2 linked regions of the Nothobranchius furzeri genome follow. The protein of the gene in region 1 interacts with the protein of each later gene in a pairwise test. Links are inferred from orthologs where the notes say so. Each region holds a gene or a part of one and is shown on either strand. Other genes may lie near its edges.

What was found.
Region 2: the proteins of tsr2 (region 1) and small ribosomal subunit protein eS26 interact in binary tests that used the Homo sapiens proteins (3 or more experiments, as listed by UniProt). The two-hybrid records come from large-scale screens. The link is inferred for Nothobranchius furzeri from reciprocal best matches to the Homo sapiens genes TSR2 and RPS26.

Annotation. Positions count from the first base shown.
Region 1 is NC_091755.1:47,641,848-47,647,831, forward strand, and holds tsr2 (pre-rRNA-processing protein TSR2 homolog), read left to right. Parts: upstream 1-2,556; 5' UTR 2,557-2,574; coding exon 2,575-2,652; intron 2,653-3,479; coding exon 3,480-3,570; intron 3,571-3,696; coding exon 3,697-3,788; intron 3,789-3,864; coding exon 3,865-4,020; intron 4,021-4,463; coding exon 4,464-4,562; 3' UTR 4,563-4,843; downstream 4,844-5,984. UniProt on the Homo sapiens protein: May be involved in 20S pre-rRNA processing.
Region 2 is NC_091743.1:48,632,236-48,638,210, forward strand, and holds small ribosomal subunit protein eS26, read left to right. Parts: upstream 1-2,730; 5' UTR 2,731-2,772; coding exon 2,773-2,856; intron 2,857-3,877; coding exon 3,878-4,055; intron 4,056-4,518; coding exon 4,519-4,649; intron 4,650-4,816; coding exon 4,817-4,852; 3' UTR 4,853-4,909; downstream 4,910-5,975.

The sequences.
Region 1 (5,984 bases):
AGAGAGGTTGTGGATTGCTTTGAAGGTATGAAGGAGAATTTTGAAGATGGACCTGAATTTAACTGGGAGCCAGTGAAGCTGCTGGAGAACCGGGGTGATGTGGTGAAAGGAAGGGGTTCTGGTGATAAATACGGGCTGCCGAATTCTGGACCAGTTGCAGTTTATGAAGGAGTTTGTTGGGGAGACCATAAAGAAGTGATGTTAATTTTAATCATAAGACACAAGAGCACGAGATTACATTTGTGTGATAGTTAGCTGAAAGGTTTATAATAAAATGTTAAAGTTTCAAGATAACGTTAATCATATCAGAATTTCTATGAAAATGAAAGCACCATGTCTACAGTAGCATTCGCTTTCTTATTGTTTTCCCGTTTCTCTTTATAGTTTATTATTCTGCTTCTGTACGTTATTTGGCATTTAACTTCTTCCACAATTCTTCAGCTACTTACACAATTTTGGTATCAAAACGTTCAGCTTATACCAACTATGATTTTTGGTATTGAAATACTTTATACTTTTTGAGGCATTCAGCTTTTTATGCTATTTTTCCCCCGTTGAAATGAATGGAACTGCTCAATTTTCAGTAAAATCCTATCACGTTTTTGACCTTTACTCTGATAGGTTAACCTTAATCTAGAGACTTCATTCAAGGTTCAACAAACTCACAAGACGTTCGGCTATTACTGGTTACAATTTTTTTTATATCTTCCCAGGTTTTTCTAAAATCACAGGTAGAAGTTGAGGTACGGCTTGAGATTTTCAGAAAAATTCACAAAAATTATAATGGGCAAAGATAGGAGCGGTGACCCTCCCTTGCTCCATTTCTGGCATTGTAATTGTACAGATAACCACCAAAGCCTTCTGCTGCTCACACTTTTTGAATTTTTCAGTTCGGTGCAGCAGTTTATGAAAGTGATGAGACATTTCAGAGGTCTGAAATGACATTTGATGCAGCTGAGAAACTGCATGAGTCATGAACACCTTGAAACAAAAATTTCCTCTGAACATATCTTTTATAGTACACTAATGATTTTCTCAAACTCAGTAGGTTTTTTGTCAGCCTTGAAGTACTGTCTCTGGTTTACCTGTAGGCAGGGGTGGACTGTCCTATCTGGCATTCTGGCCCTGTCCCGGTGGGCCTCTCAGCCAAGTGGGCCACTTGCCCATGGGCCGCCCCAAACCAAGCCCCCACCCCGTCTCACATGCGGTTATAGAGACAAGTCCGCGAGCAGCACACAAAACACCCCGTCCCTCCCCCACATTTGGCGGGATAGACGAGTCGCAAGCAGCAACCTCCCCTGTCGAGGGCCGATGGTTCATTAAAACCCCAGGGCCAAATTTTGGTCCCAGTCCACCCCTGTAGGCCTGCAGCTAAACCATAATCCCGGTATTACGGTTTTTAAGCTATGAGCCTCAGGAGGAGGACTGTGCCAGCTTTCCTCTATTGTAAAGAAGGCTTGTGTGGCTGACAAACAGCTGAAATGTTCTCCTCATATCTTCTAGAACAGCGGTTCCCAAACTAATTTGGCCATGCATTCCCCTATGTCCCGACCATGTCAATGCACCCCCCAGCCCCCACACCAGGGGGTCGTTCCCGCGTACAAACCAAAACGCCCCTTTTAGCGGCTGGCCGGATGATACACTATGGGAGGAGTTTCTGTGAACCGAATGATGTCATTTATGTATAAAATAATTATTAATAAGAATAAAATACTGATTAGAATTTAGGTGTGCTTATCTTTTTCTACAGTAGGCCTACCAAACTCAATCCACGAAGGGATTGTTTAAATGAATGTTAGCCTCTCCTTGAGAGACTTCCACATATTTAAAATTCTATCACAGAAAAGATTTTTAGTTGATTAATCTCTGTTGACATAAGTGACAGAAACTACATCAAATTTAAACTCAGCAGCCTTTGTAAACTGATTCTATACAAATTACTATTTGAAATTGATTTCAGAGCAGGTGAATTTATAGCCTAGTGAACTAGACCAACTTCTTGCTTTATGTTTATGTATTTAGCAGACGCTTTTGTCCAAAGCGACTTACAAGTGATAATCGGCATATTGCCCTTGAGGCTAACAACAACAATAACAACAACATTGACATCAATCATGGAGAGGAGGGAACAAGGAGTGGACAGTAGAGAGGGGGGACGGGTGCAGGCAAGGTGCTAGTTAAGAAGATGCTCTCTGAAGAGCAGGGTCTTCAGGAGTTTCTTGAAACTTTGCAAAGTTTGGTCTAGGAACGCTCCACTGGAACCTCTGCAGCCCCTAACAGCATTCTGGCTGGCCAATCACAGCCCTCTAGAGGGGTTTCAAACACATAAATAATACATTTATTTAGTCTGGCTTGCCAGGCTAGTGAGTTTATGGAAGATTAGGGGTATTATTATTTTTATTTACCACATTTTGTATTTAAACTTTTCATCAATTATTAATCAGAAAACCTCCGGCTCTCCTCTCCTGGACCTGCAGGCTTTACAGAACCAGCTCTAGTGCCCGGATCTGAACTCCGATCATGAGCTGTTGCTTTTGTCTGATTACCGATTTCATCGACCCGGTTACAACTAGCATGGCGACATCTAAGGCGTCACGTGAGCTACTTACAGACGGAATTCGGGCGGTTCTTCACACATGGCCGGTTTTACAGGTGAGCTTCGGAACCAGGTCCACCTGAGACGGACAGGTGGTTTCACAGAAATACAAACATGTGACGTTTAGACGGACAGAGACATGATCTGCGGAAGCTAACAGACCGATGCTAACAGGTTCACGTGTTTTTATTTAGGCTTTTATGGTTTTTGAAAAAAATCTTGGACTTCAGTGCAGATGTGATTCTGGTTCTGGTTCGTCCGAACTCCCTCTAGACGGACCGGTTTGATTTAAAGTTCTGACACGACTCGGTTAGGGTTAAGTTATGGATAACACACACTCAACACTGTAGCCACAGCTGCCCCGGGCATGCTACAGGAGCCACCGGTGCCTCCGGGCGGCCACCAATAGCAAGGCTTGCCCAAAGGCACAACTCACACTGATGGAGCCTGGGTACGAACACCCCTGTTACCCTGGCCTGGCCTGCCAGACTCGTGTTCTGTTTAAGAAAGCGTGGATCTGGCTGGTCAGGCTACTGTTACCCACCGGTTACAGGGCGAACTCCTACCCCACGAATTTGACATGTATTTATATTGTTTTGTGGTCTTAATTATATGTATAATCGCAGTAATTATATTTATTTAGAAGATATGCAGTAATTATCTTGAATCACTTTCTAGACAAAACTTCAGCAGCTGACCAGGGTTTGGCCCACATGGGTCAGCCACGCCCACCTGCAGATAATTGGTGGAGAGAACTGCTAGTCCAAATGCTCTATTTTAGTAACCAATCAGTGTTATCAGGAAACAGCCTGATGTGACAGCATCTTCTTCAGTGCCTGTGAAGTTCTGGTGGGTCCGAGACGTAAATGTGTGTGTTTGTCAGATTGCTGTGGACAACGGCTTCGGAGGCATCTACGGCCAGCAGAAGGCCGAGTGGATGGTGGATGTCATTCAGCAGTATTTCTACGACAACAGTAGGTAACCATAGAAACAGCAGACAGAACATCTGGTCAGGTGACCTTCAACCTTTTACTTTTGAAAAGCAGCAGCTCAATTCCTGTTTGTCCCTTATGCACGTGTGTGTGTGTGTGTGTGTGTAGCTGACCTGCAGCAGTATGAGGTTGAGGACTTCCTGTCTGAGCTGATGGATCAAGAGTTCAACACCATGGTGGAGGATGGGAGTTTGCCCCAGGTATGCGCACACTTGTGACATGTCATTCGGATGCTATCTCACCTGTAGTAACCAGGTACCTCCCGGTTGTGCACAGGTGTCGCTCCATCTGCTGCAGGTGTTTGGTCTGTGGCAGCAGGGGGCGCTGCAACAGCTTCAACAGAAGGTTACCACATTAACTCAAAACAGGTCGCAGAGGGCAAAGGTCACGGCTCCACCTACTGAGTCTGATGAGAGCACTGATGAAGCTCCGGTAAGCATCACCTGTGATTGGTTTAACTTTTATCTGGTCATGTGACCACATGGATCAGCGCTTCACTTTGTAAATGTAAACATGGCTGCAGAATCAGAGCAACACCGGGTCAGAACCTGTGGACAACCAAACATCTGTTTGCTCCAGATGTTCTTTAATTGATCATTGGATGGGATTAAAGTTGAATCAAAGATCCGACTGGTTCCAGCTGGATTTAGGATCTTACAGGTCTGGTTTGAAGGTCTGCTGGAACCAGTTGGACCCAGTTACCTCTGATTGGTTCTGAACCAGAGGTCACCTGCTGTTCAGATGAGTGGGAGACAATTCATACTCATAAATCTGTCATCCAGTGGAAACAAGAGATTTAAATATTTGTTGCATCACCATGTAAAGTTACAGGTTACCATGGCAACAGTCAAATAAAAAACGACCCGTGTGTGCAGGCAATGGAGTGTGACGAGTCCACCCCATCAGGCAGCTCAACCCCTCATCCCCCACAGGACACCGAGGACAGCTGGACGCTGGTCAGGAGGAAGAAGTGAGAACATGAAGAGCAGAACTGGAACCGTATTAACTGGACTTAATGGTTCCAGCTGCTCACATCTGCAGAAACTGCATGTTCAAGCATGAGCTGCTGTGTGAAGACAAGTCCATTCAGGAATCTGGTGGAGCTTGACCAGGGGTCGACTGGAGTCGGAGCATCATGGCCGATTCACACGGGTCAGGGTTAACCTAACCAAGGCTGATGGGTAAGGGTTAACCCTAACCAACCACAAATGTTTCAGCGTGTAGAAATAAACCTTTTGGAATCCTGATGTTTAAATGATCCGTTTTATTTGCTCTGATGTCATTTTCTCATTTCAAGTCAGAATTCTCACAAGTACAGGAAATGAAAGGCTGAAATATTTCTCTTTGATGTTTCTATACGAGTTTCTGAGTGACGCAAAAAAAAAAACACCTTTATTGTAATTTTTTAGATGAGCCTCAGAGTAAAAGCAGCGTTCAACCGGCAGTCCATCAGCATCCCTGGAACTAAATAGTCTGTAGAGTACAGCAGTGTCCACATTTAGACAGAAGAGTGAAACGATCCTTTGGTTAAGGATGAAGGGTTAATCATCGTTAAACCGTGGAAGAGGACTCTTCTCGGGAGGTTCAGCGCCACGCCGGGACGGCTGGAAGGATTCAGCTGATGGGTGGTTTGGGTTTGTGGTTGGAGATGGGCTGGACTCCGACTAGAACTATTCCTAACCTGGTTAGGTTAGGGTTAACCCACCCCATGGAGTCAGGTCAGAACACGTTTTTATTTTCACAGGAAGTGTCCCACACAAGCAGATAAACACGTCACTCTACATCGTCAGTAGCTTCTCTGGAACAGAGAGGATGGGTTGTCTTAAGGCACTTAAGTAAGAAAAAGGTAAACACAGGTGAGACAGGATTATTCAGTAAAGCGGTTTGTTTCAGCTGCAGACCCGTCCTCACCACCAGGGGGCTCCAGCAGTCTGATCAATAATCACATTAGGAAGTAATCAGGAGGTAAATACTGATGCTACTTAATGAAGGGTATTACAGTTCTTCAGTTGTCCAATCAGAGCAGTCAAAACCGACGAGTCACAAGACTCAGCTCGTTCCCACGTGATCCTTTAATCTGCTTCCCACACAGATTAGTGAAATCAATCACCTGTGTCTGGTCTCTGTGCCAGGGACGTAAAAGTCTGAGGAAATGTGGCGATTTCATTCAGATGGAAGTCGCATTTATAAACATCACAAACGTCAGACAGGTGAGTCGAAATCAGGTGCGTCTATATCAGTCACAGGTGTGTGTAGATCAGTCAGACAGGTGCGTAAAGATCAGTCAGACAGGTGCGTGTAGATCAGTCTGACAGGTGCGTGTAAACCAGTCAGACAGGTGCATGTAGATCAGTCAGACAGGTGCGTGTAAATCAGTCAGACAGGTGCGTGTAGAT
Region 2 (5,975 bases), on another chromosome or scaffold:
CAGTTTGGTATCTAGATGATGTTTTACATAATTCTAGTTTGTTTATGTCTGACAGACACAGTGGCGGTTCTACATGGAATTACTCCCCGGGCGAGGCCCCCTTTGAGCGCCCCCCCAACCGCCCCCACCACCACCACCACACCACCCCACCTGCACGAACACACACGTTTTCCAGAAACAGGCATGTTTTATTAGAACGACTATTGAACATTCATTTTTCTAAGTTGCACATATTTACATTAATTACTATGAAGTTGTCAGAATGTAAAGCAATATACATTATACACTGTATCAAAATATATAGAATCAAATATACAAAAACAACTAAACTAACTAAATATTAAGAATATATGCACATAATATATAATACATATTCTAAATAGCAAAAATATTTCACACATAACAAACTAAAGATAATCACTACAGCACTGCACCTAGAACAGAAAACACAAACTAAAATTAAAACCTAACCTTGATGCAAAGTCATCAATAATGTCATCATATGAAATCTGCTCCCCTACTGAGTGATTGATACTAATCAGAGCCAGGTTAGTGAGCCGCCCCTGAAACATAGGTGACCTCAGGTATGACTTGATCAAGTTTTGAAAAGCTCCTCTCAGCTTGAGCCACAGTGACTGGCAGAGCAGTCCAAAAGTTGGGGTAGATCTCCAATAGATCTCATGATCCATAATATTTTACAATTGCCTCTGAAATTGTAATTTAAACTGACATAAAAAAAACTGTAGACTACCAAAAATGCTAACTTTTACAGAACAAATCATGTAAAAAATAATCAGTGCAGCCATCTGCAATAAATAAACAGGATAGTTAGTGGTGACTGGGGTGTTTTCTTCTGCTTGTAGAGTTGTTTTATTTATTATTATGTGAACTTGATCAACATGTGTTTGTTGTTGTTCAGGCAGGCCACAGGCTGCAGCGAGCATTTAACAAATCCTAGTTTGAATCAATAAAAAACGATTCAAGGAATTTATTCGAACCATTTGAATATTCGTTTCAATATTTTCAGCCCTATTAGCTCTGTTAGCAACTAGTTGACCGGATTTAACCGTTAAAATCCCAGTTAACTGGTTCAAAAAATTGAAAACATTCATCATGAGAGCGACCATACCTTTATTTTTCTCCTCTTTTTTTCTTTTTTATTCCTGAATCGGGCACCTGTTGGTTTTAGCCTTTTTATGTTCATCTCTTCTGTTTGGCTCTTGACTCAATAAGTTTCCTTTAGTCAGGACTAAACAATTTGACCTTGATGGGGGGGTGACCACAAAATCGTTTTGTTTTTCCTTTTTTTATTCGGCCATTTCACACAATTCAGAGAAACCTGAAAGAATGATAGGCCTGTGTTTATGATATTATGAATTAAATGTGGAAGAACATCAAGATGTGATCGACTTTAGCCATGTTGATAGTTGATTCAGCCCCTACCCGCTCATTTCATTTGGACCCACCCAGAGGTGAATTCCCCCGCCGCACCCCTCCCCTTCCTCTTCTTCATACACACACGGTGCACGGAGCGCCTGCAGCTGCAGGGGGCGCCAACTTGCTGTTTCCAATCCAGACACTGTCATATGACAGATAATAGAAAACCTCGGTGCGGCGCAGATTTCCTTTTTTTTTTTTTTTTTTTTTTTTTTTTTACTCAGCGCTTGTGCGCCCCTTTTGTGTCATGAAAAAATGCCGCCCCGGGCAACTGCCCTGTCTGCCCGTGCCTAAAACCGCTACTGGACAGACACATTGTAATTTGAAACTCAAATTGACTGCTCTTGCATTTTATTTTTAAATGTCAGATTTTATAGAACAGCTGTGGCAGACGTCTCACACTTCTTAAGGTGTAAATGTGATCTAAACCTGTCAAACTAAGTAAAAGTAATCATTTCAATAAGAATGGGAAATGTCTGTCTCAATTAGTACTTATGTGGTTTAGATGCAACAACATGCCGTAAAAAGCAAAAAACTGAGCTGGTAAATTCCCAAACCTGGGATAGCTGTTCCAACTCAGTCAGCTAGCAGCTAATAACTAATACCAATCAATTACTGTATAATTAATTTGTGAGTCTAAAGCAATGCTTGAAAAGTGTTATCTGGGTTTTTCTATTTAATAGCAATCAGGATTCACCTATTTTAAGTGTAAAGTCAAAACGTGATTTTTAAAACCACTTATGAATGCAATAAATATATAAAAATAAAATAAAACAGGTGTCTATTCATGGACAATAGACTTGTAGCCAAAGGTAAAAAAAAGTAGTTCCATTAATCCTGTATTTCTTGAAAAAATTGTATTGTACTACCGGTATTTTGTTGTATCAAATTCTTTTCAAGCAAATGTAATCATTTGCTATGATAGAAAAATGCATCATTGAACAAAATTGTTTACAGTATTTCGGAGCTAGAGCTTCGTTTTTTAATTAGCGTAATTTTTATGAAAGTGTAAAGCCCAGAGAAAAAGATAAATAATTAATGTTTTAACGTGTTGGTGAAAAGCGACCACAAAGCTGAATTTCAAATAATATATTTTTATTCATTTAGGAATCGTGCAACGCGTTTAGGTTTAATCACGCAACCGGAAGTGCTCTTTTTGTTTTTATATCCCTCCGCGAATGCTTGTTTATTAATTTTAGTGCTTTTAAAGTTCAGTGCATCCTCGTTTTCTGTTCAGACTAACTTAAAGTCGATCTATTCTCATCTAAATACCAAAATAATAAAACAAACGAGAAATAACATATTTTCTTCAAAATAAATGCATTTAGGAACGAAATGTATTCAGAGGGCGGGGTGGATGGGTTTTTTTGTGCCGGTGCACCCTCTTCCGGTCCTCTTTCTAGCTTCTCGTGCATCATGGTGAGTGAGTTTTAACGACGGCGGCAGTGTAAAAATAACAAAACTTGTTTTTCACTCGATTGCGCTGAAGCTGTTTACACATTTTATACATTATAATCATACAGCGAACTTATATCTTAGAGAATTAAAGTCAAACATAACTTATACAGAATGAAATCTGAATTTGGGCCTAATGCTAATAGCTAGCATGCTAATCATTTTGTACATGTGTTACGTCTGATGGCAAAAGATCCTGTCATTATTTGTCTTGAAACTACATGAACCGAATTGTGCTCACGGCATGTTAATTCTAAGATATTTATCTAGTAGCTTGAGTAGATACAATTTAACTTGTCTTATGTTGCGGGAACCACCTCATAATGAACTATCACGACTACCAGTGAACCAGAGATTCGTTCACTTCGTAATAATTTTATATAGAGTTAAGAGAGTATACCTTTTGGGTTATAAATTATGTAAGGTGCATTGGATGTCTTTCTCAGTAATGTGTGGACAATAGCATTAGATCTACTGTATTTCATTTGAGAACGTTTAAATGGTAGTTGTTAGAAGCAGTCTCATGGCAAACAAGGAAAGACGTTTTATTTTTTCAGTGAAGATTTAGTACATATTTGTCTTATACTAAGATAATTGCTAGTTAAACTATACAGGAAGTGCTGTAAAATAGTGTTGAAACCTTTCAGATATGTAGGTTTTAATTCCCCGATGCTACACTTTGTTTTATGGTCAAGGATTTTATTTACAGATTGAGCAAATTTGGTGCCATTCTAAGGTGCTGGATAATTGTTACAAATATGAAGAGTATTTCAAGATAACACAAGGTGCTCCACTAGTGCAGTAGCACATTCAAAAATTATTTTCAAAGATGATGACAAATAAATTAAGAGTGGGAAATATAAAATGAGGAGGATAAACAATAATAAAAATGTAGAGGTGTTTGTTGCATGTAATCTTGCATCATGGACATAATTTAGCAGCCTTAATTGTTTTACTTAAATATTAATATGGCAACTTTTTGCAGACCAAGAAGAGGAGGAATAACGGTCGTGCCAAGAAAGGCCGCGGGCATGTGCAGCCCATTCGCTGCACCAACTGTGCTCGTTGTGTACCCAAGGACAAGGCCATCAAGAAGTTTGTCATCAGGAACATTGTAGAGGCAGCAGCCGTGAGGGACATCTCAGAGGCCAGCGTCTTTGACTGTAAGCATCTTCTGAACCTTTTCGCTTTAATCCAGCTCCCTTGTTAAGCAACACCAAAGTAACGTTTGGTGTGAATCAACTTGAGTTTTACAAAATTTTAATTATTATATGGGACTAATTAATATAACAAAGCTGTATTATTTTGCCTTGTAAAAAAGTCAGAGCTACAGGTGCTCACCAGCAGGGACGATTCGCAGATTTTTTTTTATCACTAAGGCTCAAAAGTCCACAACAATTATATTTGTGATATATATATGTATGTATGTATGTATGTATGTATATATATATATGTATGTATGTATGTATGTATATGTATGTATGTATATATATATATATATATATATATATATATATATATATATATATATATATGTGTGTGTGTATTATGTATTCTCATAAACTTGGATGATTCTGGAGTCTGGTTCTAGTCAGTTTTTTTAATTTATTTTTTTTACTTTTTCAGCATATGTTCTGCCCAAGCTCTACGTGAAGCTGCACTACTGTGTCAGCTGTGCTATCCACAGCAAGGTAGTGAGGAATCGCTCCTGTGAGGCCAGGAAGGATCGCACCCCACCACCAAGATTCAGGCCTACTGTGAGTATCATACACAATTTGTTGTAAAAATAACTGGCTAATGTGGAAATTTACAGATAAATATTTTGGAAAATTGTTCAAACACAAACTCCTGAAACCAAGTAAAAAAAAAAAAAAGACATCGTCATTGATTCACTCATTTATCTGAACTTTCTTTTTCTTTTCAGGCTGGTGCACCAAGAGCTCCTCCAAAACCCATGTAAAGCAGAATCTGAACATGCCGTACATCTAACAAAGAAAATAAACAATCTTTACAACAACTTTAATGTGTGAAGCTCTTCAATCTTTTGTGATTAAAGGAAAGAAGTTTAGTCAAGTTTTTTTTTTTATTGGCGTAGACTTGCAGTACAGAACTTAAAGTAGTTTTATTGGTCATTTATTAAAATGTGTAATATCATACATTTAAAAATGGCTTTTGTCATTCAAGGCAACAAAAAGGATATTTAAGCTGACAAAACTAGAAAGCAACTGACCGTCACAAAGCCTGGATGTTTTTAAGTATAATCTTGGAACGGGTGGACCTAGTAGTAGTTTTGAGATGAAAACAACCAGATGTTGGTTCAGGAGCAAATGGCTTTGGTACAACACCTATCACCTTCAGAAGCACATCACCATCCAGTGGTCAGGGGAATATGTTTGTGGGCAAATTGTGCTGGAGAAACTGGACTGAAAAGTTTATGGACTTTTCAACAAAACACTATAACGTTTATTTTGTCAAATCTTTGCATTTTATTGGTAACCATGACCATTTTTGACAGTCAGGTGAAAACTGGTTTAGGCTGTTCTAATTATGGTGTGGTGGCAAAATGTTAGCAATCTGCTTTTAAACCATTCAGTTTTTTGGGGCCGCTGATTAAAGCCGGGGTTTTCAGTTCCACTAAAACGTGTTTGATGCCACCCCTCCAGGACCGGAGTTGAATACTCCAGGACAGTTGAAGTATTTTTCCTGTTAACTGATCTATATTGTCAGGTTAAATACGTAATACCTCAAACACCAAGTTTGTCTTTTTTAGGAGTAATGATGATAAACTTTGTTGGAAGTCTCACATAGATCATGTGAAACGGAAATTAAGTATTTCTATTCTTTATAAAACTTATTGCACAAGAGCAGCCTTTATTTACTGTACACTTCCCTTTGCTTGCCTTATGCGAGTTATTGTGTGGAAATTTGGGGGAAAACATAAAACATATCTGGATTCAATTTTTAAATTGCAAAAAAGAGCTATTAGAATAATAAATAAAATGGATATAGGGAGTCCACAAACCAATTTTTGTAGGACCAGCTATGTTAAAATTTAAGGACATATATCTTAAAACTTTAGAAAT